Lepisosteus oculatus: one gene and its partners. The protein of the gene in region 1 interacts with the protein of each later gene in a biochemical or structural test. Links are inferred from orthologs where the notes say so. Each region holds a gene or a part of one and is shown in the gene's direction. Other genes may lie near its edges.

Region 1 (7,018 bases):
TACGTAAGGTAACCTCTCATTAATCACAAATTGTTTAAGGCTTTTAGAAAGAGCTGATTAATGGCTACTTGTAAATCCTGCTTATTAGGGACTAGCTGAACATATACAGTAGCTTTGCTAATATTATTATTTTTTTCAACAATAATTTTCTCCCAGTTATCACACAAATGACTTGAAATCTTCCACAGTATTTTATCCCTAACTAACCAGTTTTCTGTATTGCCCTGTTTCCTACATTTATCCTGAAAGGGTCTCGGTGCAGTTGGACCCCTACCATGCCTGTGGGTGTATATTTTCAGTTTTGACATGCAAAGAGGCAGCCTCACTTCTTCCAGTCAACACACAAAAAAATTTGAATTTATTCCAGATAATACTATTTGAAAAAGTAACTGCAGAAACCTGACAGAGAGTCTTATTAGCCCAGTGGCATTCAATAGTGTTTCCATAACAAATAGCATTCGATATAACTCACATCATTTCTAGTCTGAAGTGAGGAGCCCGCAGTACACATTTATGCTAGCTCGTGGCATAGCCCTGGGAATCCTGATCTGGCTGAGTCATAACCCTCATGCGAATGAAGATCCTGAGATTCCTCGAGGCTTTCGGTAATGATGGAATAATCTCTCAACATCACTGAAATTCTGTACTGGATTTCAATGTATTTTTGAAACACAAAAATATTAGTTTGGTGTAGCATTGGCGGCACAGTGTTAAGCATTGTTGCCTTATAGTGCCAGGGCCCTGGGTTCAATTCCTGGGGTGCTGTCTGTGTGGAGTTTATATGTTCTCCCTGTGTTTGTGTGGCTTTCCTCTGGGTGCTCCGGTTTCCTCCCACAGTCCAAAGACATACTGGTAGGGTAACTGACTTCTGGGAAAATTGGCCCTGGCGTGAGTGTGTGTATCTGTATCTGTGTGTTGCCTGCGATGGACTGGCATCCTGTCCAAGGTGTGTCCCACCGTGTGCCTATTGCTTGCCAGGATAAGCTCCGGCTCCACTGAGATCCTGAATTGGAAGAATCAGTTAGAAAATGAAGGGACAGAAGATCAGTTAGGTCTCACTGCGATTCATTATTTCATTTTTGTCATTCTTTTTTCTTCTGTGCAATTTCTGCTCAGACCGGTTTGCACTCAGCTCTCAAGACTCGAGAAATATACTTAATAAAATAACGTCACAGATGGGAGGATACCGTTGTGCCAATCTGTCCTATTTGTTGCTAACAGTTAAGTTATTCTGAGGGTCTCGTCCAGTTTTCATCAAAGAAGCCTGGTTATTGGCTTCAAACCCATTGCAGAATACCTTGTTCCTGACTCCCACAACCTGTGTCAGAAAGGTGCATCCTGTCCTCATGTGAATTGCACTTGCTTGTGCTCTGATTTGTGTGTTACTGGTGGTCTAGTCCACTGGGGTTTTGGAATTCTTGAATCAGGTCCCTTCGCAGTCATCTCTGTTCAAAATGTAAAAATTGTGAATTGTGAATTGTGGGAATCTACAACACGCTTCCCAGGCAGGTGGCTAAGACCAAAGCTCTTGGCATTTTAAAGAACAAGCTGGATGAAATCTTAGTTTAAATTTACTAAACTATCAAACTCGGAAGTTGGATATTTGATATTGCTTGCATTCTTTCTTATGTTGTTGCTTAAATTATATTATGTTAAAATATTATTTTAACTTTTAATTTTAAGTGTATAACATTCCTGTGTATAAGACCAGGGGACCAGGGATGTACTGATCACAAATCTAAATGTGTTATTACTAATGTATTGTACACATGTAACATAATATCCCTTTAAATTTCTCTTTGTATTTTTTAACTGCATATAATTGCATATAGTTCTCCCGAGTTGTCTATATTAAATACCAGAAGGTGTTCCACCAGGTTTGATTTTATACAAGTTATTTTTTCATTTCCTCTGCTACTTCTACAATCTTTGCTCATCTTCCCATTTTCTTATTTCAGCTGTGAACTTGACTAGTTTACTGACTATATGCCAATCAAGTTAACATAGGAACTTTGCTGATTTATGAAAACTTTGGACTCTGTTTTAGTAGTCATTTCTCCATCCAAACACAAGCAATGTGTTTGATCTGAGCATTAATCCTTTTATTGGGAACCTCATAAAAGGGCTTTTGAAAATCTAAATATAGAATAAAACGTGTTCATCTTTCATCCATTGCTGGTGTTACAGTACTTCTCCAAACAACTCTAAAGTGCTTTAGTTAGCAAGACAAACCTCTTGCAATCCATGTCAACTATCCCTTATAATCCTACTACCATACAGTCAGTCCTCTACTGTAATCTGATTATATTCTCCATTGGCTTGGGTTCCTTACTCTTCTTGTGAATGGGTGCTATATTTCAATTTTCAATATTTCTCTTCTCTTGAGAGATTTTTGTTAGCAGTGTATAATAAAAACCACTTTCTTTCTTTAAGTATGATTAATAGAATAGCAGAAGGCCCTGCTATTTATTAATGTCTGCCTAGTGTGCCTACATTGTCTCTTTTATTATAGAGCTTTGTCTTTTCTCAGCCTGAAGGGTGTTGTTGAAGATTATTCCCTGGCATTCTTCTAGCATCGAGAATCGACACTATTACATTAGCGAAGATGTGATGTCACAGATGCAGGAGCTCCGGAATTTCTGCAGAACCAGAGCACATTGCTTCAGTGAGCAATTTCCACTGGTGAGGATCACCATTGGAAATGTCTGGGTGTTAGCAAGATCTCTCTTGCTCTACATCATACTGCTGGCTAGGGTCCTGTTATTACAGCACGTTACTGACACCAGTGATGTGACTCTTACCCTCGAGTAAGCACTCTAAATTATTTTCTGTTGTAGCAGTTTTATACAACTACTACTAATAATAATTGTTAATATATTTGTTATATTAATTTATTATTAAGGATTAATTTTGGTATTATATTTTTTATTTAATTAATGATATTTAAGCAATACACAATTATTACTATTAAATAATAATAATAGACTCTTAGTAGTAGTAGCTGCTGTAGTTTATCATTAGTAGTAACAGTAGTAGAGGAGGGTAATTTGGTTTTATTCTTATTCACTCCTAAGGACAATGTACTGTATAATGAGGGAACCCAAAAGTGTCGACGGGAAGCACTTTCCTGGGCGACAAATCGTGATCGGCAGCTCACGCTCAGAAGAAAAGGGGGAGACGTGCTTCACCAATTGAATCACATTGGAAGCGAAAGCAGGAATGTTATTGAAGAGCCCCCTTTATGAATGTATGAATTTCAAATGGTCTAATCTTTGAGGATTGATTGCCAACAGAGGGCCCCAAAGGATTCGTTTGTTCGTGAGAGAAGCTAGTGAGCGATAGTTCGCCTATTTTTTTTTTAATATCGAGGCAGGAAGAAAAGCAGTGTGTTATCATTAAAAAGAGATCCGAACCGGTGTGGGACTGAGTTGTCCCCCGTTTCTCTGAGCTGTTCATTCATTTCTTTAAAAGACGGTGCTCTCTTCCACTGCTGGCTTCTGATGTCCAAGCCGGGGATACTGAAATCTTCCCCAAAACAGCTACATTTCTGAATGAATGCAATATATTGATTAATATTTCACTAAATTAAAAAATCCACACTTCACAAATTGATGGTAACAGTTAAGTTGCATGCTATTGATTTTTAACACGCGATGAAGGCAACATTAAGTAAATATTTGTAACTAACATTTTTGGAAATTAGAATAATACATAGATTTTATACGGAGATATTTGAAATATTCTTTGGGAGGGATTCCGAAGACTGGCCACTATCTTAAAAAAAACAAAGTTATTTGAACGTTTTTATTTGTTTAATTTAAAAATAAAATAAGAAAGACTACCATCTCCGGACTGGCGACATTGCAAATACCCTCTAGTATTCCCCTGTTATCTCCCCCCATCAATTCAGTCGTAAGGAATAGCTGTCCTCGCTTGCACCACGTCTCCGCTAGAGGGCGACAAACGGCCCGGACGAGCCGTGAAAGGGGTAGGGTGAAAGCTGGCTGGAGGCTGCCAGTTGCGGAGTCAGAGATACACGGCGCTGCGCTCTCGGTTCGCAGCGGAAAGCGTCTGACAACCTGGGTTAAGCTCCATGCAGCTGTCGTAAAACGCCTGTTTGGAAACAACGCATTGCAAACCTCTGGGAAACGATTTGCGAATTTATTATCCAGAAAGCGATTCCTGGGGCGTAAAGACCCAGGGCTGCTCAGGTGCGAAGTGCCATCGACCTTGGAGAGCTTCGGCTACATTGTTTCTTTCTTGCAAACCTGTACGTACCTGCCTAGAAAGAGCCCGCCGAGTCACACCGAAGAATCATCCCCTTGCTTGCTCGGGCTAACACGGGAGACTGTATCCGTCTGAAGCTCGCAGGAGGACAAGTGGACAAGTGGAGACGCCGACGTCATTTTTAAAGGGGGATCATTATTGTTTGTAAACGACTGGGTTATAGAGGAGCTGCTAGGAGGTTTTGCCAACAGATTCCCACGGTAGGATCCTGTGAGCGAGCTTTCCTGCTAGCAAGACGTGGACTGCAAAAAAAAAAACCTCGGGAGTTCTAGCTCAGCCTGGCTTCATTAGTGTAACGATTTCTACGGGTGTTTGGGAAGATACGGTTTCAGGATGCCACTCGCACAACTTGCAGACCCATGGCCCAAGATGGAGCTTGTTCAGCTGGAAACCGAGGTAAGAATGCAGCCGGTTCGCTTGGCGTTGTGAGTCAAGTGTCCCCCCCCCCCACTTTCCCATTAAGTGCTGTGGAAGCCAGGTAGGCACACGTGGGGAAGAGGTTACAGCACTCGAGGAGTAAACTCCATAAGTTCTTAATTTAGGTGTTATGAAGTAATGGTTGCATAACAGCAGAGCGTTTCCTATAGCACTGCGATAAAAAAAATAGATTGAGTGGGGGAAATAAAAAATATTAGGCATTAACAAGTTTTAAAGAATTTAGGAGAAGATGTAAACATTTGAGCGCAGAAAGTTTGAGGAGTATGTGATTTTGCCACAGTTAACACCGAGTCCCAGCAATGTATATTAAAGTTTTGTGAAAAGTTTTACTTTGTCTAGTGTGTGAATACATTTGAAATCCGCTTGCTGCAGAAAAGCCTGCAGCAAGATTCATCCAGATAGTTGTACTTGCCACTACCATCCCAGGCTCATCACACGCCTGGTTCGAGATTGCATTTTATTTTTTTCTAATGTAACCTTTAGCATTAAACAAGTTCTGTTGTTGTTGTTTTTTTCCACTGAAGCTCGACCCGTTGATAGAGCAACTTGGGGTTGTCGGTTGTACAGTAAGTGGCAGAGCTGGTGCGCTCTTCTGCAGCCGAAAGTCCAGATGTGTCGAATCTACAGGTGTCTAGAACAGCGAGGTGCTGTAGGAATGACGGTACTGAAGTATAGCGTTAAATCGAATATGGACTAGGGACGATTAGACTGAATTCTGTTGGTCCTGAGAGCTGGGTTCCTACCTACATATTGTATACAGAGCCGTCCGCTGTACTGGGTGTGGTTATTCCTTTTAAAGGGGTGGTGAAGACGACTGCGTTATCTGATTGACGGTGTCATCCTTATATTTGTGAATCGGTTTGAATCACGGCCCCTAGTTACAAGTAAACTCGCTAATCTCTCAATTCCCTTCTCCTCCAGTCAGTGTTCTTGGCAGCCTCGCCAGTGTGTCTAATCGATGATCCGTTTGACTGGCCCGATTGCTGCTTTCTTCCTGAAAATGCTTGGGAATGCAATGAAAATGCTCCAGTATTAGTGCTGGCAGTCAGTGTGGCTGCTATGCTTTCCAAACAGAGCTTTTGGGACTGCACAGAATTATCTTTTAACAGCCGTAGACTAGTCTTGACAGACGCGGGGCAGAGAAAGAGCCTATTTCTGAGTGTTTTTCCCCTGTGTGTTTATTGCATGGGCTCCAGCTTTTCTTTTGTACGGCCTGATCGACGGGAGCTCTCAGCCTTTTATAGTAAGTGGAGGCGGACAGGATCGTGACGGAGGGCGATCACCGCTAATAAGGAGCCAAGATTTTAATTACCCTGAAGTTCACAACTGTGATTGCAACAAATAATGTGAAGGAGGTTGTGGTTGAGAAAAGGTTGTGTCTTTGCTGTACAGTAGGCTGCACATCCCCTGTAATATTTGTCAAAGCATACAGAGTCCTCAACGAGGCTGTTAGATTTTACACTATACTGATCGTGGGATTAAAATTCCCTTGATTTCTGGGGACCCCCTGGATAGTGTCAAAGACGCCCAGGTTGACAATTCAGTTCTGAAAGGTTTCACTAGTGATGATGAAGGTGTATTTAGTGGGGCACATTGTTGGATGGGTAGGTCACGCCTTTCCTCCTGGTGCAGAAGTTCCATACTGTTTGCCAAGTAGGGGACAATGTTACGGTTGGAGCCAACCTTTGGATGAGTTGACCTTAAGTTTGAAAATGACCTGGCTTCTGGTAATTAAACTAGATAACTGGAAAAGTGCAGAGCTCCTGTGTTCTGGTAGAATTCATTTCAAACATTTTCTGTGCCCCCGTGTTAAATGAATTGGCTGGGACATCCCAGCGTTATCTACCTTTTGTGCTGTCATTGAGCTTCTGGTGTACAGTGACTGTGCACCTCAGAGGAGAGAGGAGAGAGGGTTGAAGTACAGTACCCTCCACCCAGCTGCATTATGTCTGCAGAGTGCAAAGTGCCTTTGTTATAATTCTCAGAGTTATTAACTTTGTGGCAGCACAGTGGTGGAGCTATTAGCAGAGCTGGGGCCCTGGGTTCACTTTCTGGAGTGTTCACAGTGGAGTTTGTACAGTATGGTGTTCCTGTGTTAGTGTGAAATTTCTCCGGGTGCTCTGGTTTCCTCCCACAGTCCAAAAACCTGCTGGTAGGTTAATTGGCTTCTGGGAACATTAGCTTCAGGAGTGAGTGAGTGTGTGCGTGGCCTCTGTTGGACTGGCCTCCTGTTCAGGGTATATCCTGCCTAACGCCCATTGCTTGCTGGGATAAGCTCTGGCTCCTCTGTGAC
Region 2 (7,828 bases), on another chromosome or scaffold:
GGCCTGCAGCTTGTACACTCCCCTCTTGGCCAACTGTGCGATGCCACATAGGGAAACCACACCCAGCTGTCTCATAAACCAGTAGTGAATGTTCGTCAACAGGTCACAATCCGTGGTCCAAACCACACATCTGTACTGTGTAAGCCAAACAGCTCATCTTACTTCATCCTCATTTTTCCTTTGTTGCCTCTTTGACAAAGGATAGTGATACAAGCAGAGCAGGATTTTGGTGTTCGTATGCCCCAGGCACTTTTGCTCTGAAATGTGCAAAAGGAGGGGTACAGTAAATGCCAATTGAATTACGTTGATTGACATGATGCACTTTAAACTTTTCTAATGCTAAACCTCATGATTGAGCGAGTTGAGCAAGTCGAGCGACCATCCCTTCTATACTTCTAGTTTCTAGAACAGCAGCTAGATAGCATATGATTATTAATTTGGAGCACCTATAGTCGGTCGCAAGCATGTTGTTTCAGCTTGTTTTTCGCTAGTCACTAGGGTCTTCCTCCTTTGTAGGCCCTAGGCACTGTGCCTAATGGGTAATCTGGCACTGGATACACGTGTTTTCAAACCAGACATTTTTGGCATGTCATAAGTGAGTGATAAACATCTAAAAACATTATTGTTTTGTAATTAAAGTGGTAAATTAGGCATTATAGTTAGGGGCACTGGGTTCATGTAAATGAGTTTATCTGACGTTTAAACACAAACGGTACTCCAAAGGGGTCACAACTGGCAAACAAACCCATTTCCACTATGTGCTGACTGGCACATACTACAGCACCTTCCACTCATTTAGGAATAGTTAGGGGGGCAGTTAGTACCCACTGACATAGAGATGCAGAACTGCTTTGCAATTTAGTCCTAAATAAACTCAAAGCTGAAGACTACCCTAAGGAATGGATTGCACAGTGTACAATATGTCACAAAGAGCTAATCAACACCCTACGCAGACGATAGAATCCGGAAGGGAGTGAAACAAACATGGGGGAGAGAGGACTAGGAACGGGGCTGGTAGATGAACTGGGGGGGCGCGTCGACGGTGCACTGGTGCTCGGGGGACGTGGTTCAGGCGAAAGTCCAAGGGGAGTCCGAAGAGTAATCCAGAGTGAGCTGGGTGATCCATCCATGAAAGACACGACAAAAGTTAAAAACCGGAGCGGGATCCGGTGAAGGGACAGGGAAATAGAAAGGGGTAACGGGTCCAGGCGCTCCAGGCCCCGGACCCAGATGGTCAGGACACCGCTGCGAAGCCTATGCTGTTGGGCCACTCCTGGACCTGCTGGTAGGCGGGCTTCCGGGAGTCCATCTTCCAAAGTTGAGCCCAGACTGGTAGGAGCGTCTGGCTTTTAAAGGGAGGAGCTGGAATAGGAGGCAGGTGCAAAAAATCAACAGAAACAAAAAAGAGCCGAAGAGCCCTTAAGAGGAGGGACTTACGATCGTGACACAGTAATCATAGATGGGAAAGCAATCTTCTTTATTTTAACAACATTGTGGAAAATGTTAACTATTTATTTGTAAGAGTAAGGACATGTCATAGGTTTTAAATAAATACTGGCATTTAAAAAAAAATTAGAATCAGCATTGCATCAACTCAATTTAGATTAGCCAAGGGCTTTTCCCATGGATAGGCTTGTAGCTCCTATCCACACAACTGCACACAGGGAAGACTAAGGAAGTGTAGGTAGATACATCCGAGCCATTCGGTTAATGCTTACTGATCAGTGCAAACTGGAGGAGGGGCACATCCATCTGTGCACCCACTTGGGGTATCCTGGTTCAGTCTCCTTCCGACATGACCCGGTCTCAGAGCTCAGTGGCCTTTTCAAAGGCAGAACGAGGGATCCAATACCTAAATATCTTAAGAGACAATACATGTTGTTCTGTTAAATTCTATTAAAAAAAGAAAGCAGTTGTTTAGTATACCCAGAATACCCCAATTATTTAGGATTGTCACTGCAGTCTGGGCAACACCCCACACTCCACTAGTAATCTTAATTGTGCACAATTCCCCAGAGAAGCACTGTCTCCAAGATGACTGAGCTTCACCCCAGCAATATCTGAGCCACAAAAGTCAATCTGCATTCTAAACGGGTCTTTACTGGTTGAGCCGCCAGTGTCATTTAGACCCATACAAGAGATTTATTGGAAAACTTTAATGTAAACTGTTTATCTTCGAATGAAAACGGAGACACTAGGGAAAGATCAGAACAGAAACAGCTTAAAAAAGAACCGGAGTTCCTGGCACTTTATGGAGCAGTTAAGACTAACGTGTCTCTCCGAGACCGGACAGTTTACTGCATGTATAGAAATCGGAGGGTTTTACAAATATTGACGTATTTTCCAGGATTAAGTAAAAATCCAATAAAGTTTTTCCTCTAAACAAACGCCCGGGAATTCCCATTTTGCAACCAGAACTAGTATTACACACATCCCTCGCTGTTGCCATTAGGACCAAAAATGTCAGCTCGTAAATGGAAACGCGTAAGTGACAATTACCATTAAAATAAAATGGGGGTTCAAGTCTTCGATTCATTTCTAGTGCTCCTATCAGAAAACGAACCGACGTGTCTTGGTATTTTCCTGCTGTTTGTATTTTCGAACCATAAACTGCCAAGTACATTACAACGGGAATAATTTACCAACACTTTTTATGCAAGCTGTTATGTTTAATATTAGGAAGCAATTATGTGGAAGGAAGATTTGCATGACCTATATAGCACAAATGAACAATACGATATGAACAAAATAACTGTTAGTTATACCTTGTACAAAGAATAAAACTCTTAATTTTATTATTAAGACATCAAGCTGTCTGGTGATAGACACCGTGCACGCATAGGGGGAATAATCAAAACAAATAATTTAGTTCTATAGCATGTTAGAGTTTGTGAACCGATATTATTTACAAATTATACATTAGAAATATTATCCTACACCATATATGGTATAAGGCATTACAATTTCTGTTAAGAGCAGCCAAGAATAAACATGCTATTCTAAGAATAAGACGTTTAACTCGCACAACAAAAACGGGTCTGTGTACCACTTGTTTTAGCGAGTACTCTAAAGTAAAATAGTTTAACAAGGAATGAGTGCATATATTTCTTGGGATCTTTGCACCGTATGCCTCCCGTCTCCAAGTTTTGGGGTACACCGATCTCGTTCCCATCTGTTGGGCATTTATTTGTCAAGCCAAAACGCGTGATAACCCCTTTCATATTTCTCCTTCTCTCCCAAAAGAAATAATCTTTGCAACCAAAATCTCCGATAATTGCGCACCTTTCGGATCGACGTCGTTTCTGTCAGAGGTTGGGAGACAGGGAGAACTCGATTAAAGAAGGGCCAGACTCAAACTATGAAACCAGACTACGTTAAATCTAATGACTCTTGAAGGATACTGATGTATCGCTTGACTGTTTTTAATAATAATAATAATAATAATAATAATAATAATAATAATAATCATCATCAGAGAGGAATGCAATAGACATCTGATACTAATTGAATCGTTTATTTATTTTATAGGCACGTACATGTATTTTATTAAAACGAATTGCAGCTGCTAGGAGTTTATCGCCCACTAGTGGCTGTATATACATGTCCTGACTATTTTCCACACATCGCTCTTTGAGAGACTTAGGTTAAACATCAAAATTCTTCGTTTTAAAAATAGTAATAAATTATGGGAATAATGAGCTGCGCCGTAAATAATTTATTACAATAGTTTTGCGTTTGTTTTAAAATAAAACAATGGTGCCATGGGATTTTTAATGACCAAGTAGTCAGAAACACTTTAACAACAGTTAGGATTCACGTCTTACAGCTCCCTACTGTTGCCATTTTGTTGAAACTCTCAATAGAGGGATGAGAGAAACCTGCTTGTCCACCAGCACCATTGAAATCCGCAACCTATTTATTCTTAGTTCAGGTGGGTAGTTGCGCCAGCATGCGTAGGCTGCAAAGGAACAAGTAATAGGTTTATTCTATGCTGAAAAGAGAAGTAAGAAAACACGTTTCGGCTGTGGAGCCGAAATTTTCAGATTTGAAAAGCCCATAAAGTGGAATGAATCAGGCCATAAAGTGGAATGAATACATCAGACCCTACATGATTAACTAGTCCAAGACAGAAGATGTAGATGGGCATCATCGTGTTTAGTTGGATTCTGGTCGATTGACTTGATTAAAGTCATCCTGTTGCAAAGTAGATGCAGGTGTTTTGCCGTGTGATTTTTATTCACATTTCGTTTGGAAAAACTGGTGTGCACAAAACATACACCAGCAGTGCCTCGGATAACACACGCTACTGTTTCACAGTCGTATATCGTTTTATTTGGATTGCACAACATGTTTTTAAAGAAAATTTAACTATTTCATTATTTTGACATAAGGAAATAAAGTAAGGATGCCCAAAATCAAAACAAAGCTTAACACGCTGTTAGGCGACACAATTAGTCAGTTCCTGCTGACATTTCTAACTTTTGATTTCATTCTTACAGCAACTGAAAAGGAGGAAAACAACCAAACATGCTGTGTGTTTTGGGGGTCCCGCCTCCACACTGGGTATTGGCGGTCTTGCTTTATACATGGTAGATATGCAGCTAGCATTGGTTGTACTGTACTGCCCGTCACTATGTTACCTGATCTCGAAGTCAGACTGAAACCAATCAGCCCCAATCAGACTTACCTAGGCGTCTGGTCTGTGTTGCTGGGCTGTTGCTGTGCTCGGCTGGCTGGGACTTGATCGCTGCCAGAGCATGAATTACGCCGTACCGGAGTGCAAGTTGTGCTGCTTGCTTGCTAGCTCTCCCCGTGTTTGTGCGTGAATTTGTGGCGAATCTGTTTGTACATGTAGCCTTTTCACATTAATGAGAAGTTGGCGGGGGTGTCAGATTTGAATGCATATGGGTGCGGCGTCCCCTTTTCAGAAAAAAAGGCTTAACAGGATTTGTGTTCAAGCTTGGGGTTGAAAAAAGGAGAAATACTCGTCTTCTGGAGCTGCGCTGAGCGGTGGACATTTTTTCGCCTTTTGTATACTTGCGCTTTGTGGACATTTTGATTTTTTCTTTCTGATTGTCAGGCTTGAACTACTAAAGTTTTTTCAATTAAGGATGTAAGTAATTTTATTTTTTTGTGCTACCCTGCTAACAGGAAGTTACTTCCCCGAAGCAAAAAAAAACCTAAAGTACACGAAAGACAACTTTTGGCGAGAACACTGCACTTGGAGAAGAAGCACAGTCAATGTGATCAGTGTTTTGAGAGCTTTAATGTCATATGAGTGGATGGATGCAGTAGAGGTTTTTAAGCTATCTCGCCTAAGACGATTTGCACCAAAGTAAACAAAACAGTGGATTTAAAACACTTTCGGAGCTGCAATTTCAATGAAAGAAGGTGTCTGGAAACCTGACGTTTAAGGTAACATATGTGTACCGCTGAGTTTGTTTTAATCAAAAACACTTAGAAGATGGGGGGAAAAAACAACAAAGTTTGATCTAGATATCATTTGACCTCGGAAAACTCGGAAAGGGTTAAGGATCATTTTAACCCTGTTTCCGCCCACCCCAGTAATGTCGTTGGCTGGTGTGTGAAATGGTGGTGGTAAACTTGAGCTGGAATCCGCAGCCACTGGAGGTTTTAAAGGGGGCAGACTGGAACAGAGGAGCTATTGTTTAACTCCAGAGACTCTGGACTGAATCTGATGTGACCGCTGTCTGGATGCTTTCCACGGGGGATTTTTAATCATCAGTGTATTTACTGTAAACCCCCTTTGTTTAATACTACTAGTATTACTAGCGCATCCCAAATGTAGTATCAGATGCGTCTCTATAATAAACACGTGAAAGTGAGGTAGATCTTTGGATTTTATTAATTTCTACTAGTATTTTCGTGTTTTTGGAGTCTGTGTAATTAGAAGGGTAATTCTGTATGGTTTTATTTGTCTCGGTTTGCTCGCCTCTATTGGTAGAACGAAACAAAGCCACAGCCACAGGAGCTGTCAGATATATTAATGGGTATATATATAATTTGCATAATACAGTACTGCTGTAATTTTACTCTGTTAAATTACGATTTACGCCGTAAGAGTACGTTTTGAGTAACCCCTTCCTTTCTGGTCTTAATGTTTTGTTGGAGAAATATGCGGAAATTTACAGAGCACCAATGCCATTTAAGTTGGCATCACTTCCTGTGTAGAATAATTTTGCCAGGTAAACCTTGTGTTTTGTTCAGATACGTCTGTCTGATGAGAGCTGAAAGGATTACTTTCGATATTTTCACGTTTTAATAAGATTAGGCTAGGGATTTGGTGTTAACTGTGCGACCTCCTGTATTTGATCTTATGGGATGCAAAGGAGGAAATCTACTGTACGACTCGAGGGGCATAAAAACATCCCATCCGTTGTCTTACTTAAAACGGTAAATAAGAAGGAACTGAAATCGATCAATATGCTTTTGATTGTCGAACTAAATTTAACATAGATAAAAACATTTTATATTGATTGGTTTATAAACCTGATGTTGTTGTTTTTTTTGCTAATCTGATCCTCTGTGGTTTTAGTTTCGTACATTTTTTTAAAATTTCGATTTACCAGCTTTGCGAAATTGTATTGAAAACCTCAGTAAAACTATCTTCCCCCTGTTAATCATGCTGGAACAGGATTTAGTGCGTCAAGACAGGTAGCAACAATAAAAAAAAATACGATGAGCAACCTAGGATGGTGAACCAGTTAGCCATTGGTTATATGGCCAATTTGTTTTGCTTTGGAGCATATTTAAATTTAAAAAAATGATGTAGATGGTTTAAACTAGTGCTAGTTCATTGAATGCAAAAAAGCCGAGTCGTTAAAGATTTACAAAGCCCTGCGGACGCTGTTTTTATTAGAGGACAGTGATTACACTATAGACGTGGATCAAAATGGAAGCTCTTTAACATCTTATTGATGTTTTTTCGCCATTTGGATAAGATCTAGTTATTTTCCTTGGTATGTGCACAGGTATAACCGGCTTCCCTTGAATTTGGTGTAACCTTGCAGCGGAGACGGAAAGAATCTGCTAAACTCGTTGACACAGGTGTTGGTGTGAGTAGTTGGTCTGCCTTTCCTCTTTTCACCGTCACAGGTGGAATATAGGGAACATTAGGCCACGAAATGGTTTCATTATTTTTCTCAGTGTAGATTAGTAATTATAATAGTAATTAGTAATAAAAGAGAAAATAAAAAAACAGTTCTTAATGCATTTATATGTAACGTGACGGTTATTTTTCCAGTATGCTTAAGTCTTCTTAAACTCTTTTTGCATAGTAAAAAAAAAAAGGTCAAATTAATGTTTTGTTTGAGAAGGAGACTCGGTCACTGGGATGATTCTTAAATGAAGACTTGTTCTTGTGGGCACTGCAGTGGTGTAGTGGTTAGAGTTCTATGTCAAAGCTCTTTGGATTAGGGTTGAATTCTGGCCTGGGGCTCTTTCTGTGTGGAGTGTGCATTTTCTTCCCATGTCATTACATGCTGATTAATTTGCATAGTTAAGTAAAGTGTGTGTGTGTGCGCTCTGTGATGGACTGGTGTTGGTGGTGGGGGACTACACACACTCAGTGTCTGCTGCTCCCAGCTGTCAGTCCTGGTCTAGGAATTACCTCCTTCGTTTGCTGTTTTTTTTTTTAACTGGACTCTTGGGTACCCCTAGTGATTTGTGAGATTTGTAATCGGTATAAACCCTGTGCAAGCCAGCAGCCATATCACCCTGTGAAGCCAAGCAGGGTTGAGCCTGGTCAGTACTTGGATGGGAGACCTCCTGGGAAGCTGTGGTTGCTGCTGGAAGTGGTGTTAGTGAG
Region 3 (7,936 bases), on another chromosome or scaffold:
TATTGAGAGCACTTGACTTGTACAGTATGTGTTCTGGTCTGTCACCAGTGTTCGTATGCTGAACGACCTGGTTATGCTCATTAATGCATGTGTCCTTCATGGTAAAGCATAAAATAATTAACATACTGTATAAGGCTATCAATGTCTATTAATACATTTTAGTGTGAATGTCAAAGTCCTAATCAGCAACTACTCAATAAGAAAAAAGCAGCAAAGATAATATAGTGTTTAGTGCTTTAGGCATTTTTGCCTTGGTAAAAGCCTTACAGACATGGACTTTCTGTATTCATTCTGTAGCATTTGGCACAGTACTTACTCACAAAGCTGCAGGAGCACAAACATGTATAGAATAATATTATAATGTTGTTAAAAGTAAATTTGACAAATACATAATACATATGTTATATTTCTGTTGATGTGATGAAGTATTGTGAATTTTTGTTCAACTAGTTTGAGCAAGAAATTTAATTTTTCACTAAAATCATCCTCATGAAACCAACATATACTTGGTAAGATTAATTGAGTTGACACACAGTCAGCTTGTTATTCACCAAGTGAATTATGTTAATCCACATGATGATGGGTTTTAATGTAGTGCTTTTTTAACATACTAGCAAATCAGTGTCACATCAAGTGTCCACTGGATATCCAGTCTGAACTTCATCCATTCAGTAGAGAATCCAAAATGTGTATCTAGCAATTACTAAAGAATGTTGTGTTTGATCATGCACTGCATACGTAGGAAACCCGTGGGGTTAACAAAAGAATGACTGGTATAACAGGCAGCAGGATATTTCATAACTAAGGCATCTGAATGTTTGATGTTTGTGACACTGTAATCAGATTGGGAAATAAGTTCTAACTCCATTACATGATACTGTAAGCTTGGTATTCAGGTCCTCTGGGTCCTCCCTTCAACAGAGCATCTGGATATCTGTGAATCATTCACTGTTTTAGACCAGGGGAAATGCTAAATCAGTCCCATTAAGTTACAGTAGGTCATTAGCAATCCAGGTGGAGGTAAAACCAGAAGATACATTGACTCTCCAATGCTCTCCAGTTACTGTGGAAAGAGCAAAACACACTGTTGTTCAAACAGCATGCAATGGGGTAGTGTGCAATAAAATGGAAAAGTTACTGAGAAAAACTAAGGTTGCTGCTGGAAGTGGTGTTAGTGGAGCCAGCAAGGAGCGCTCACCCTGCAGTCTATGTGGGTCCTAATGCCCCTGTATAGTGACGGGGACACTATACTGTAAACAGGCGCCGTCCTTCGGATAAGACGTAAAACCGAGGTCCTGACTCTCTGTGGTCATTTAAAATCCCTGGGCGTTTCTCGTAAAGAGTAGGGGTTTAACCCAGCGTCCTGGCCAAAAGTTCCCATTGGCCCTTATCAATCATGGCCTCTTAATAATCCCTGTCTATGAATTGGCTTCATTATTATTATTATTATTATTATTATTATTGTTAATATTATTATTATTATTATTATTATTATTATTATTATTATTATTATTATTATTATTACTGTAAACGTTGTGTTTCTTCACCATATTTTGAACTAATTCAATACATCCTTAACTGAAGTTTATCTTAGAGGAAAATCATAGATGCAATTGAGAAGAGGAAATGTGTGCCCAAATCCACAACAAAGGTCAAACATCATACCACATTGCTGTGGCAAATATATTAGTTCATTCTATAAAATGCAGTTCCTTGCAAAAGTATTAACATTTGGTCATTTGGTTGCTATAAAGCTTAAAGTCTTGATGCTTACATGTAGCAATTAATATCTGTTATATATTCCTAACCTTCATAACAAAAAGAAAGAAATAAAAAAGATATGAGAGAAAATTGAAAAGTCATAACTCTATAATTATTCAAAGACTTTGCAATGTGCAAACTTAAATTAATTTAGGTGCACAAAATTACCTGAATGAGTTTAACAATTAGTCGAGTTTCCTCTATCAGTGTGCAATAATAGTTGTTCATATTATTTCAGAATAAATACACATATTTCTACAAAGTCCCTCAGTCACATAGTGAATTTCAAGCAAAGAGCTTGAACCAAGAAGCTTTAAAAAAATTTAAGGATGAAGTTGTAAAGAGGCACAGATAAGGAGCAGGGTATGAAAAGATTTCAGTGATCCTTAATATCTCCTTGAGCATGTTAAAGACAATGGTTAAGATGAGGAAGATTAAACTGGTTAGAGATGCCACTATGAGGCCAATAGTGACTTTGAAAGAGCTACAGAGCTCAGTGGCCGAGATGGAAGGAAAAATGCATGAGTCAACATGGCAACATCTTGTTGACTCATGCACTTTTCCTTCCATCTCAGCCACTGAGCTCTGTAGCTGTTTCAAAGTCACCGCCCAGCCACTCCACAAAACGGGCCTGTGCAGCACAGTGGAAAGCCCATCTCAAGTTCTGCTTGGGGTTTGCAACAAAGCACCAAAGTGATGCTGAAAAAGATTTTGTGGACAGACAAAACAAAACTGGAACCTTGTGGACTAAAGGTAAAATCCTACATGTGATATAAACCCAACAGACTACATCACTCTGCAGTCTAGCATAGTGGTAGCAGCATTACATTATACTCTAGTTCTGCTTCTCATCAGCAGGGACTTGGAAGCTTATCAAGAAAGATGGAACAAAGTACTGGCATATCTTAGAGAAGAACCTGCTCCAGGCCAAAAACTGGGGCAAAAAAATTTCCTTTCCGCCAGACAATGACCAAAAGCACAAGTTCATATTTACACTAGAGAGGTTTAAGAAAAAGAAAGTAGATGTCCTTGAGTGGCTTACTCAGTGCCCTGACTTGAATCCTAATGAGAACCTGTGGAAAGGCTTGAAAGCTGTTATGCAATCCGCAAGCAACCTGAGAGTGTTTTTCCAAATCTGCAGAGAGGAGTGGGCAAAAAAATGCACCAAGCCAGTGAGCAAATTTGGTAGAAATGTTCTCCAAAGCACTTGTGGCTATAATTTCTATGAAAAGTGCTTTTACCAAGTTGAGATCATGGGTCTGAATGCTTATACTATCAACATATTCCATTTCTTTTTCTTAATATTTGATTACATTAACTGTTGCTTTTCTCACCTTTTGGGTTTTGCATTACGTATTATTGTAAAGGTAAAGGTTTATTCCATGCTGAAAAGAGAAGAAAAGAAACACGACATTTCGGCTGTATTTTTGGCGTAGAAAATAATGTGTCTGCATCATTTTATAACTTCACAAAATGGGACACCATAGGAAGGTTCTGAATATTGTGACAAGACACTATTTCCATGATTTCGCAGTATCTCAGAAATTATTCCTTTTGGAGCAGGTTCCTTCAGGAAAGATTCCTCTCATTAGTACAAGAGGAGATACACGTATGGACATAGTCTGAAAAATCACACCCATTTCATCCATGGATAACTGAAGTGTTCATGAGAAAGCAAAGAGGGCACACAGTCAGTCACATCACAGGACTCAATCACATAACTATCTAAGGTGTACATGTGGCTTGTGAGTCCTGAGCACATTGAAATCACATTAGACAACAAAACATATTTGTGTAAGGAGACTTTCTTTTCAGACATAACCTGTTATACTTACTCTGTACCTTACCCTTACCCTGTGAGTCCCTTTATGTACCAAATAAATCTAAATTAAATATAATTGTTGGACCTTCAATAATTAAGTAATCAACTCTATCCATGTGAACCTACTGTACATACAAAAATAGAGGTCTTAACAACCTCTAGTGGTGTCAGCAGAAATTACTACCTTCATTACTAATGGTCTGTCACAGTAACATATAATAGACACTTTGCTTTTTGTTATCAAACATGGTCACAAATGCTTTACATAACATGTGACATAAATAAAATAAATAAACTTCAAAATTAAAGAGTGATGTCAAACAAAAACTCTCAAAACGTGCTTTACGTAGGGCCAGGAAGATGTAGTAAATTGTACATCCCAAGATGTGAACAAAACATTTCATGAACCCAACAAACTTGGTATGACTCAAGGTTCTCCAATTTCAGGACCTTACTTAAAGTTTATAAAATGAACAACCTAAACATTAAAATAAGACGTCTAATCAGAACGCAAGTCAAAGTTGATCTGAAAATGTGACTGATGAGAACAAATTAGCGTGGTAAACTACAGAGATGTGTCTTCAGTTTAGAAGAAGGAAAGGGTGGAGGCCTTTGTTACAGTAATTGAGTTTCATATCTATTGCGGCACCAGGGCTGAGTCAGTGTCACTCAGCATAAAACAGCCCTGCAACAGGTGAGGAAATAGCACACTGTCCTCTGGGATTACATTAGCGCCACAACATAGATCATGCTTTTCCAAAGAAACCAAAGCAGCTTTGGTATTCTCAACACAGAAGTTTCACGTCTACTCTTGATACCTAGCTACAAGTAAATAACACATATGCCAAACAAGGACTAAACATAAACCTACAGCTGTTGGTTACCTAGGCTCATGTTCAGATAGAGAAGATATTATTGGTTGCATGTTCAAACATTGGAAAAATATCTAAGCCTCTGCATCACTACCAATACAATCATGCCACAGTGCACAAACAACTAAACGTGTTTCATTTTCAGTTCATGGACAATATAAAGTTTTCAGAGAATACAGAGGTAGGGTACTGTTTAAAAACCAGATGGTACATATTTAAATCCCACACTCTTCATTTCAGGAGGGAAATGATAAGTTCTTATTCATTTCAACCTATTTCCCAGTGCACCAGCATAGCTATTACTTCAGCATGTGTTGTTTTCCAACCCTAAAGAAGCAGGCTAGACATTTTAGGAGCCAACAGAAAGGGTGTGTGCTTTTAATTAAGCTGTTCTTTTGCAATGTGCAAGGACCTGTTCCTCTGGTTTGTACTGGAGAACTAATATACGAAAAAGAAAGGAAAGAAAAGGAGATTGGATGAAGACAGCCTTTTACTTGCTGTGCTGTTTGTACATCCTTGACTTTGATGATTCTATGCTGCATGGATTGAATAGCGAATAAATTGAGGATTATAAGATAAAGCAGGAGGCCATGGTGGAGGACCAAGGTGTGCATCAACAAGCCCCCTCACTGGAAGAAGAAGGTGAGTTCATTCCTCATGTATTTTGTCTTCTAGTAGCCAGCAGTGGTGTTCAAACACTAAAGGGTTGTTTTACTAAAACATGTGGACAGATGTCCATGTGGACAGCAGGTTGTCCACCATCTGTGCTTATAAATGTGAATACTCTCATAGATTTAGTTACATTAACATAAGGTCTCGAATATTTAAAGCACCACAACATATTTTGGTTATAGTTAAATACATAAAATTAAGTAGCACTGATTGGTGAAGGCTATGTAAGACCTATGAACTTTACAGGGTATAGACTAGATGTTGTTTAGTATTAATTTTTAGAATACATATTTGTTTAGAAAAAACTTTGTGTTAATCATAGCATTATGATTTTTTTTTCTGTGATATGAGTAAAATACAGGCAATAGATGTCTGTCCTGGCTTTAAGGGTACAAAGTGCACTTTCTATCTTTACAGGCTTCTATCATAAAAAGGAAGCCATTATAATTTATGGTCCTAAGAATACAGTATGGGAGTTTTAGCTAATCTTACTCAAATTTAAGTAAAACTACTTATGTACAGTATATGGATAAAACTGATTATTCTTTACGACTCTTTACTTACTAATGATCTAATACGCTCTACATGTATACATGCATAGTAAGTGGGAAATGTTTAAATGTAGCCCAGCATTTTGCAGTAATGGCTTTGATTGCAATGTAAAAGTGATTGTCAGAAAATGGCTCAATAAATCCTGTCATATGTTTTACCTGTCTATCGGTGAACTCCCAGTAAAGTCAACTAGGATAATTGCCATCATTTGTACAGGGGTGCTTTGAAGTGATCTTAAATGGGCCTAACTGTGTTTTGATGACAGTGATAATAACTTCAATGCAGAAGCAGATAATTGGTCTCCTTGTTCATGTCTGCTGGTGAGTAGCTGAAAAGGGCAAGTGGTTCACAGCGGCTAATCACTCTAATGTAGCAGAATTACTGCTTTTTATACACCATTTAGGTAAACATGAATTTCATTTATAATGCCACCCTTTTTAAAGCTGGAACACAGTATGTGAGATGTGGGACATAATGTACACAATAGAGCAGTCAGAACAAGTCTTCCCCAGTGAGCCTTATGGTGTGCAAGAGTTATATGAAAAAGTAAACAAGGAAAGCATAAAACAGGACTCTTTTTGTGGTAGAAATTAAAATTCCAAGGTGAACATAGGAGTTTAATGTTATTAACTGTACTAATTAAAAATAAATGCTTAAATAGTGCCTGTATCTAATTGGTAACTGTGCAGCTTTTGCTCCTTAAGTAATCAAAACTAAACATTTTCTAACACACCCACACACACTAGTATTTACTGTATGTGTGCAGACACTCAAACTGAATTTGGTATTGTATTGCTTATAGCTATTTTCATAATGACTGTTTCAGATCTGCTAAACTATACTGTACTCCATTAATTCAAATAAACTCCAAAAACGTTCTTTAAAATTATCATTTTAATGTACAGTATACTATGTATGCCCAACATTTTCTATAGAAGAAAGTATAAACTGTTCTAAATAAAACAAAAGAAAAATCAAAGATCACAGAAAGAATTCCAGTTTTCTATATTGATACCAATTTGCAGAAACACCCAAAATGTAATTCACGTTTATAGAAGACAACACCCTTCGGAAATGCGTTTAATAATACACTTCCAAAACCACTTTGAAAAATGGCAGCATTTACATAACATTGCCGCCAGGGGAGCCCCTTCTACCTTCCACCCGTTCTGTCCTGCGACAAAACAAAATCTCATACGATAGTTGGATGAGTTTTCAGAAATTTAACTTTCTTTTCTTCAAACACAATCATGCCGGGGACTTTTGGCGATTATTATTGGCAAAATATTGAGAAAAAAAATCAACAACACCACACGTAATCATCGCATGTTTCTCTGAGGGAAAGTAAATGATACATGTTTATTTACATCCTCATACAGCTACATACGTAGGTAGACAGAATTTAATGTCCAGGAAACAGCAGGAAAAGTATTATTTTTTTGTAAGCAGAAAGGTAACAATTAAGACAAAATATTACAGAAAAAATAAATAGTAATTATAATTGCGAATACAGTCAATCTGTATAGTGACATATTTGTACAAAAATACCATAATTGTTTTATTGTTTTAAGAAATTTAAGTTATGCATAAACACAGACTCTATTTCCACGGACGCTATATGATCTCGGTTATTGTTAGGTTGTATGTTCTACATGACATAATGCTTGCCTAACCGCTGATTAATGTCCAAAATCGAAACTACAGTAAAACAGGGCGCAGTCGACACCTATGCGAGCAGAAGCTTTTTTTTATTCCAGCCTGGAATCGCTTCCAGGTTTCCGATAAAACCCGAAGATTGCCGATCAGCACTTGTGCCATCGGGAATCCCGAAGAGAGGCGGAGATCGAGTATCGCAGCAGTCCAACAAGAAAGGGAGCGAGGGGGAAAAGAACAGTGCTTCTCTTCCTGGTCATCCGTCCTGCCGACACCTGTCTTTGTCTTTGAATTGTACGGATACACAAACTGGGACGAACGGTTGTGGCACATGTAAAGAGAAGAAAGGCAAAACTGCGAGAATCTGGATGGTTAAGGTAATAACACAGTGCCACACACGGGCTTTTTACTTGGGAAAACCTGCAAGGTAGTAGTGTAGTCATACGGCTCGTTTAGAGCTACTCCCAGTTAAATATGAGGTGTGTGAAGCCTTGTAAAGATGACTGTGATAGCAACGTAAATATTTACAGTAATGAATTTCAGTACAGTTCGACAGCGCTGCCTGGATTCGTAGTTTTGCTTGTATCGCTGACATTGGAATGTC
Region 4 (7,901 bases), on another chromosome or scaffold:
CAATGAGCATCATGTAACCCGTTGTCACTGCTGACAGATGTGTCATTGCTACCTTTCAGTAGAGCTGGGCCATGATAGAACTAGAACATCTTGATGCAGAAGTGCTGTCCTGAACCGAAAAAAAAACAGCACCTGCCTTATTTTAACATGCTGGATTAAAATAATTGAAATAAAGCAGCAGGTCTTAAAGAACCCACATCCTTGCAGAATTCAGTTTCTTAAAATGCTGGTTGGGAAAAACAAAATCATGCCAAGGAGAAACAATGGATTTAGACAGTCTGTCCCTCAGTGGGAAAGTCCAGCAGGTTTGGCAGGTCTCTTGAAAGAAAGAGGTGGGCCTATCAGTCTACATCAGATGTAACCAACAATCAATATATGACTTGAGCTGTGAATGGACAAGTGATTTGAAATGTGTTGCAGAAGAGAAAGAGAAAAATAGAACTAATTGGAACAAACTTAAGCATGTGTATTCATGCTTAGGGGGTTGTTTTAGACCTGCTGGACATCAAAGGGATGAGGAAAACAAAGTCCAAAACCTTTGCACATATCTCATACATATAATTAAAAAAATATTTGTATTATCTGTGCAAGAACCTTGAATGCAAATTGCCTGCTTTTTATGTTATCAGATTAACAAAAAATACTGTGTAGTAGAAATGTACCTAATTTTTCTGTTTCTTTTTTGGATCTTTGTCAGGCCTGATCAACAGTTAAGAACTGCTCCAAAAATTGGCTTTCGTAATTGCAATACTTGTAATCTGGATAAATAGAACACAGCAGTGACATTTTCTGAAACAGACCGAAAATGATCCAGATTACAGTGAACAGAAACATAAAGTCTATGACTGGTTTACTTTTATCAAGATTATAAGGTGTGCTAAACGCACCCCTGTTCGTCATTCTACCTGAGCTCCCGATGATTTAATCCCACCAGTTATTGGTCTTAATTACAATTGTTTTTACGTGCTTATTGTGAAGTGTGATTTCCCTGTAAGACCTGCTGGGCCATGGTTTTTCACCTCTTCAAATTACCACTTTCGAAAGACTTAGAACAACAATGTTGTGACCAGTTAAAGTGATTTGATACCTTAAGTACCTTGGAAATGAATGCATTTGAATTAACACCCGAACACACTTCAGTCTTCAAGCACTACTTAATTGAATATGTAATGTACTTAATTGATCAGTAATTACATGTGTTTGAAGTCTGTAGAGCACTGCTTTGGTGGGCTGAGGCTCTTCTGATTGTCTTTCGACTTGTGCCCTTAATCTCCTGACTTGTTAAGTGGACCAATTTATTGCTCTACTCCCAAACTAGCTAGATGGGCTGAACAGCCTCCTTTCTCTTGAAACCTTTCTTGTGTGTTTGTGTTATGCAGGACGGGTTATATAAGAGATGACAATGGCTTGACTGGTGCTCTCTAGTACTGTAAGTAAGGAACGTGGTCTAGATCTCTGAAGGTGGGATCCATGCAGGATTGGGTAGGTAGTTTTCAGTTAGTAATTGATAGAGACCTAATAAAACAAGCGATTGGACTTTGTATGCAAATAATGTCTTCAATGAAGCAATTAAGATCTGTGGTGGAATGAAAACCAGAATGCTCTTAGGTTCTTCAGGACTGCAGCTGCCTATTCAGTCCTTGAGGGGGTGTAGGGGGTGTAGCTGCTTTTCGATTAGCAGCTGACAACTTCAATTCAATAATGAGATCAGTGGCCTTTGAGAACTGGTCTAGATGAGAGAGAGAAAGTATACCAGGCTTGGCCAGTTGTGTTCCCTGTGACGCCAAAAGCCTTCACTCTTCTTTTCATTCCAGCTTGATCTCGGTGACTTAATTGGATATTTAACTGAACTACTCATTTGTGTAATGACATGTTTTTCATTGTTCTCAAGTTGTTGTGGTTAGAGATTTCAAAGCACCCTTCATATTTTAATCTAGCCTGGAATCTACACCTTCTTAGTAGCAGGAATGTATAATTAAGCTAACGATCATAGCAATGAAGAATTTTGTTAAATTACTGAGAGATCGGCGGCAGTAAAAAGTAATAGACAGCCCCCAACCAAGACTGGGAAGGTCTGGTGGTATCCCAAATGTCCAAGACATTGTCATTTTTCTAGAACTGAGATTCCTTTAACACAAGCCAAGCATATTCAGTGGAATATGTGCTCCGAGTGACTTCTTTTTACATTTGGGTGAAAACATTGCAGCCACAGTCCTGTCACATTTGTAAGTCCAGCAAATCCCACTGAACCACAAATTGAAGAAAAGTCCTCTCCAACTTGACAAGAAGACATTAAGGCTGAGACGAATTAAAATATCAATTAACCTTTTCAGATTAGGTCCAGTGTTAGCTGGCAGGGATACAAACCTCGTGATCACCAGCTATTGAACCAGGACTGAGTGCAGAGGTAGAAAAAGCTGACTGAATAAATGCATTCAATTTTAGCAATGTCATTGATTCCATTTAACAGTCCTAAATGGGGATCAGGTTTGATCTGAATGAGCTTCAGAAAAGAAATCAGCTTCACCTTCAGCCGCCTGGCACACATTAAAGCTTGATGCTGTAACTTTAGTGTCTTTTTAATTTATAGGACCGTGCGGTTTGACTTTTTTTTTTCTTAACTTTTTTTTTGTCAAGACAGGCTTTGATTCTGGTTGGTTCTGCCATGCAAATTTCCAGTCAAATGCTAAGCTGCAGGTAATTCAAATTGCTCATGTAGTATAGCTTTGACTGACGAATCTGAGAGGTTCGAAGCACAGCCATTGGAAATGTGCATGCCCTGTAATAAAGCGGTGATATTCTTTTTATAATAATAATTACTTACACTTATATAGCGCTTTTCTGGACACTCCACTCAAAGCGCTTTACAGGTAATGAGGACTCCCCTCCACCACCACCAATGTGCAGCATCCACCTGGATGATGCAACGGCAGCCATTCTGGGCGCCAGAATGCTCACCACACATCAGCTATTAGTGGGGAGGAGAGCAGAGTAATGTAGCCAATTCATAGATGGGGATTATTAGGAGGCCGTGATTGGTAAGGGCCAATAGGGAAATTTGGCCAGGATGCCGGGGTTACACCCCTACTCTTTTCAAGAAACGCCCTGGGATTTTTAATGACCACAGAGAGTCAGGACCTCGGTTTTTACATCTCATCCAAAGGTCGGCGCCTTTTTACAGTATAGTGTCCCCATCACTATACTGGGGCATTAGGACCCACATAGGCTGCAGGATGAGCACCCCCTGCTGGCCCCACTAACACCTCTTCCAGCAGCAACCTTAGTTTTTCCCAGGAGGTCTCCCATCCAGGTACTGACCAGGCTCACACCTGCTTAGTTTCAGTGGGTTGCCAGTTGTGATTTGCAGGGTGATATGGCTGCTGGCTTTTTGTATAGTTATTTTGCTGTTTTACATTTTTTTTACTCCAGCATCCAATCCTTATTACAAGGGGGGCTATGAGCCTGACGGGATACCTGATATGGACAAAGCCACCCATTTTTGCATTTTCTTCTTCCAGGTAGGGGTCGTGGGGGAGCCAGAGCCTATCCGGGCAAGCAACAGGCACAAGGCGGGAGGAACTGACAAAGCCAATGAAGGGAATATCATCCAAAACTGGTGCATTTTGATCATGTTTTCTAGCCCGCTACATATTATTTTCTACAAATGAACGGTACAATGTGTGGAAAAAGGAAAGTCCTCGACTCCGTCACAAGCCTTTTGACTTCCCTCTGCCTTTAGCTGTCTGTATGTAGATCAAATTAATCAGTTTTAGACTTTTGTCACTTGGCCCTTGAGCTGGATTTCGTCCTAGCTCTTTGACAGTGTGCGACTGTGATGCCTAATGGGGCAGAACACCATGCGGCAGAGGGCTTAATGGACAATGGCATTGGGACATGCTAACACGCTCCACCACTCTGATCCCCGCTGCCAGAGCTCAGGTGGACAGTGGAGGAGCTGTTGGCTTCCTGTGTCCTCTGTCTCGGGTTCAGGGTTCAGGTCAGAGGCCTTATGTTTTTTTAAAGATATGGGGAATCTGGTGCTACAGACATGCCTGAATGAGTAGACAGCGGGACAACGGTGTATGAATGGATATATACAGTAGGTAATCAGAAGGTAAGAAAGACTTAGAATGATATTAGAATGAAAGACTTAGAATACATTACATTATATGATATATAAAAAAATGAATTGACCCAAGATTTACACCAAATTAAATTCAAAATAAGTAACACAACAGGTTGAAGACTACAATTGCTGCAGTGGACCAGGGCCATCCAGTCTTGGCATTAGCGTTATATAAACTGGCAGTGCTCCTCTCCATATGTGTAATGTCCAGAAAAGAGCGTCACCACATGATAGAGGCTAGTGTACCCAGCTGTGTAGGACTGCTGTATTGCGGCTGCTGTTAATCCAAAGAGCTAAAATCGTAATCAAGTTAAGTATTTGTATATTTTAATTTTTGCAGTAATGCTGTGCATTGTTTGAAAGATGGATATTATGATGATGTCGACCTTGAGTAATGTAATGACAAATGTCCTTCGTACTTCGTGAAGTGTTAGAGGTTATGAACATCAGGCTGCCATTGCTGTTCCTCACCACAAGATGGCAGGCTCGAGACACTACGATACCTTCGCATTAGCAGATAACACATTTACATTATTTCCATTTCCCCGCCTGTAAACTGTACTGATTATAAAAAATATATTTCGAAAACAGGAATTTGAGGCATTTGCATTGCTGTTATGAATTATGATGAGTTTTCTTTGTCGAAAACTGGGGTTATACGTGCTTTTGAAATACGCAGTGCTAGCAATAGCGTAAGCGTCCAGTTAGGTCTGTACTGATGAGGTCTACGCAAATTCTCTTGTTGAAATAATGGGACGCTTCGGGGCGCAAAGTACAGGACTTCCTTAGGTATCCTGATGCGGGACTAAGGCAACAGTGTTAGTATTGCTGTCTAACTGTGTAGTAACTGAATAACAAGGACTCCGCTGAGAGTCGGTGGAATTGCGGACAACAGCGCATTTATTAAACGTGGTAGGTGTCTGGAAGACGATCTTCCTCCTGCGGTTTAATACAAAAAAGCACTGAAAAGCCTCCGGTTCTTGGCTCGCCATTCACCTGTGGTGCAGAACGTCGTATTTCTTCTGCTGTCCTGTCTTCTCAAGGTGCGATCTTTTAACGTTTTGCTAACTTAAACCTATACTGTGTAGTCGAGTAGAATTTTTTAAAAGTGTTGCGTGGGGTGAGAGAGAACACAGTAACCTAGTCGCTGCGAAGTGTCCTTTTAATTTTAGGGGAAAGGTAAGGACTGACAGGTAACGCGGATTTTACAAATATTAGTACCGGAGTAGTATTAACAAGTGAGACAATTTCTGGAACATTAGCAAATTATCGCGGTGACCAGTGACCAAATATTTGCTCAAATTCCCCTGCCGGTGAATCTCATTTTGACGTTGTACCAGACTGATCTCCTCTTAAAAAGAGTCTGGATAGAAATGTGTGCAGGGTGATAGAGGGAACACGATACGGTCCTTGTACTCGGTGAGCAGCACCGTGTTCGCCTGTGATGAGCATGATAATAATAGCATGAGGATCGAAGTGCACGGTCGGCACTCAAAGGGTTAGCCGTGCTATCTCTCTGTGTTACAGGGTAACAACTCGGAAGACCCGCCCAGCTGTTTTTAGCATTGGCTGGCCCCCAGTGTTTTTACTCCCCATCCTTCTCCGCGATTGGTTCGAAACAACAGCAGTCAACCGCGCCTTGCCCACCCCAGCACTACTAACAAGGTGAAAATGACTAAAAAAGTTCTGGAATCATTTCCCACTCCGGGCTCGTGGGAGGGAGGCTGCCGGCGCTGTGACTGAGCTAGCGAACCCGGAGCCGCTTGCTGGAAGAGGCAGATGCGCGGCGGTGCGGTCGCCACGGTGGAAAGTGCTCAGCAGGATTGTGGGACAGATTGAGAACAATCCTCCGGAAAAAAACACACACACGGGCATTCCGAGTATTACACACAACAGCACTGCCTGCGCCGGCCGTGCCCATTTCACAGGAATGCGGCTGCTGCCAAGTTAAAAACGAACAGGTGCGTTGGACGCGAGTGACGGAAGGTTTGTTGTAGACGCGGGGCAATAATAACGTGAAGCTCAGTTTGAAGTTGGAAGTGTTTTCTTCCTATGCCCCTGCTACACCTCCAGCTGATATAGTTTGCAGGTGCTTTTGGAATTCCGGCGAAACTGTTAAAGAAATTGCGTGGACTTGGCGTAGTGACAGCAGTCCGATTCATTAATCAGATCGTTTGATCAGGTTGAGGCCAGTGACTACCTTGTAAACAGCGACAAGAAACTGAGCCGATCGATTGTTAATTCCTTCTTTGGATAGGACATTTGCTCATTGGAGTACAGAAATCAGCTATTTGCATTTATTCATTGTTTTTTTTTATGTCTAAGAATATATACACAACGCCGTGAGAAGCATCGCTGGAGATCAATATAGACAGGATCGGACATGCACGACTGATTGAAAATAATGATCTTCTGGCAGCATAATATTATTTTAATTTGTTTCATTGCAATTTGAAATTTTAAATGGGAAGGCTGGATTATTTACGTGCTGCTTCAGCGAGCCACAAGCTTGAATGATAGCATTTTATTTACAATGAGTGACGGTCGGAGCACAGATGATTATCCGTAGCTAAAATTATATAAATAAAATAAATATTAAAATCTTCACTATTGGAGGAATGGAATTAAGAGACAACAGGAGGCTTACTTCGTTTCGCAATCAACATAATGCAATTCTAATCTTTTGTTTAAACGTGTCGTAGGAAACTAGAAAATCAAGTAAACAAACAAAACGCGACTTTGCTTTTTGAAAGCTTTTAACGGGGAGTAAAACAACATGTCCAAAACATTGAGGAAGAAGAAACACTGGTCCAGCAAAGTTCAGGAGTGCGCGGTGTCCTGGGGCAGCGCCGGTGAGTTCAGCTCGGTGGTGGAGGTCCTGGGGGGAGCGGAGCTCGGCGAGTTCCCCCACCTGGGCCAGGTGAAGCTGGAGGCGGTTGTCTGTCACTCCGGGAAGCTGCCGAGCCCCGGGGACGTGCTGCTGGAGGTGAACGGAACCCCGGTGAGCGGACTCACGAACAGGGACACGCTTGCAGTTATCCGCCACTTTCGGGAGCCGATTCGTCTGAAGACCGTCAAGCCAGGTGAGTTTTTATCACTAAGTGAACTGTTCGCATTTTTATACGCTTCTTCAATAAATCAAATATACTTGTCCTCTTGTCAGTGCGAGTGATTAATCGTTTCCCTATCATAACCCAGTTTTATTCCCTTTATGGTTATGCTCATTATTAGTTTTTATTTGGATTCTTTAAACTAACAACACGGTCTAGTTGTATTAATTATAGTCTGCATTTGGAAACTTGTGCTAATTTCATGCTCTGTGGTTAAGATATTGCATGGATCTCGCTCTGAGTGTTTTGCCTTTTCTGTCTCAAGTTGATCCTGTACCGAGTTGTTGCCATGAGGGCCTGTTGACCGAACGGCTATGCAACAGAGTGGAACATGTAATAATACGGACTTTGCTACAGCCAAGTCAGGGGTCAGTGGCCGTTCTTCTCCGGTGTCGCAAGGCCAGCCTGCGCTGGACGCAGTCCTGTTTAATTGGACTGAGATTCAAGACAGGGTTTTAGTTAATATTGTGAACACCCCTCAGACTCGCACTGCGTCTTCGTGCGGTTATCGAAAAGCCCTAGCTCTCTCTAAAAACCCCCTCACGTACAGTATTATTAAAAACCGGCTACTAGTACTAGCGCAAAAGGATACATTCGACAACTGTATGCTGGTATATATTGTAGTATTTACCCCGCTTACTGATGATACCTTTAAGATTTGTGGC

What was found.
Region 2: the proteins of rps6ka1 (region 1) and erbin interact in a test that uses a peptide from one of them, tested with the Homo sapiens proteins (2 studies listed by BioGRID and IntAct). The link is inferred for Lepisosteus oculatus from reciprocal best matches to the Homo sapiens genes RPS6KA1 and ERBIN.
Region 3: the proteins of rps6ka1 (region 1) and ptpn3 interact in a test that uses a peptide from one of them, tested with the Homo sapiens proteins (2 studies listed by BioGRID and IntAct). The link is inferred for Lepisosteus oculatus from reciprocal best matches to the Homo sapiens genes RPS6KA1 and PTPN3.
Region 4: the proteins of rps6ka1 (region 1) and magi3a interact in a test that uses a peptide from one of them, tested with the Homo sapiens proteins (2 studies listed by BioGRID and IntAct). The link is inferred for Lepisosteus oculatus from reciprocal best matches to the Homo sapiens genes RPS6KA1 and MAGI3.

Annotation. Positions count from the first base shown.
Region 1 is NC_090706.1:11,002,546-11,009,563, reverse strand, and holds the start of rps6ka1 (ribosomal protein S6 kinase alpha-1), read left to right. Parts: upstream 1-4,005; 5' UTR 4,006-4,620; coding exon 4,621-4,683; intron 4,684-7,018. UniProt on the Homo sapiens protein: Serine/threonine-protein kinase that acts downstream of ERK (MAPK1/ERK2 and MAPK3/ERK1) signaling and mediates mitogenic and stress-induced activation of the transcription factors CREB1, ETV1/ER81 and NR4A1/NUR77, regulates translation through RPS6 and EIF4B phosphorylation, and mediates cellular proliferation, survival, and differentiation by modulating mTOR signaling and repressing pro-apoptotic function of BAD and DAPK1.
Region 2 is NC_090698.1:27,933,528-27,941,355, forward strand, and holds the start of erbin (erbin), read left to right. Parts: upstream 1-4,814; 5' UTR 4,815-5,113; exon of another isoform or gene 5,114-5,415; intron 5,416-6,174; exon of another isoform or gene 6,175-6,414; intron 6,415-7,054; exon of another isoform or gene 7,055-7,076; intron 7,077-7,828. UniProt on the Homo sapiens protein: Acts as an adapter for the receptor ERBB2, in epithelia. By binding the unphosphorylated 'Tyr-1248' of receptor ERBB2, it may contribute to stabilize this unphosphorylated state.
Region 3 is NC_090705.1:23,825,717-23,833,652, reverse strand, and holds the start of ptpn3 (tyrosine-protein phosphatase non-receptor type 3), read left to right. Parts: upstream 1-4,934; 5' UTR 4,935-5,045; coding exon 5,046-5,097; intron 5,098-7,415; exon of another isoform or gene 7,416-7,709; intron 7,710-7,936.
Region 4 is NC_090700.1:34,829,267-34,837,167, forward strand, and holds the start of magi3a (membrane-associated guanylate kinase, WW and PDZ domain-containing protein 3a), read left to right. Parts: upstream 1-4,894; 5' UTR 4,895-5,038; exon of another isoform or gene 5,039-5,169; intron 5,170-5,653; 5' UTR 5,654-6,902; coding exon 6,903-7,209; intron 7,210-7,901.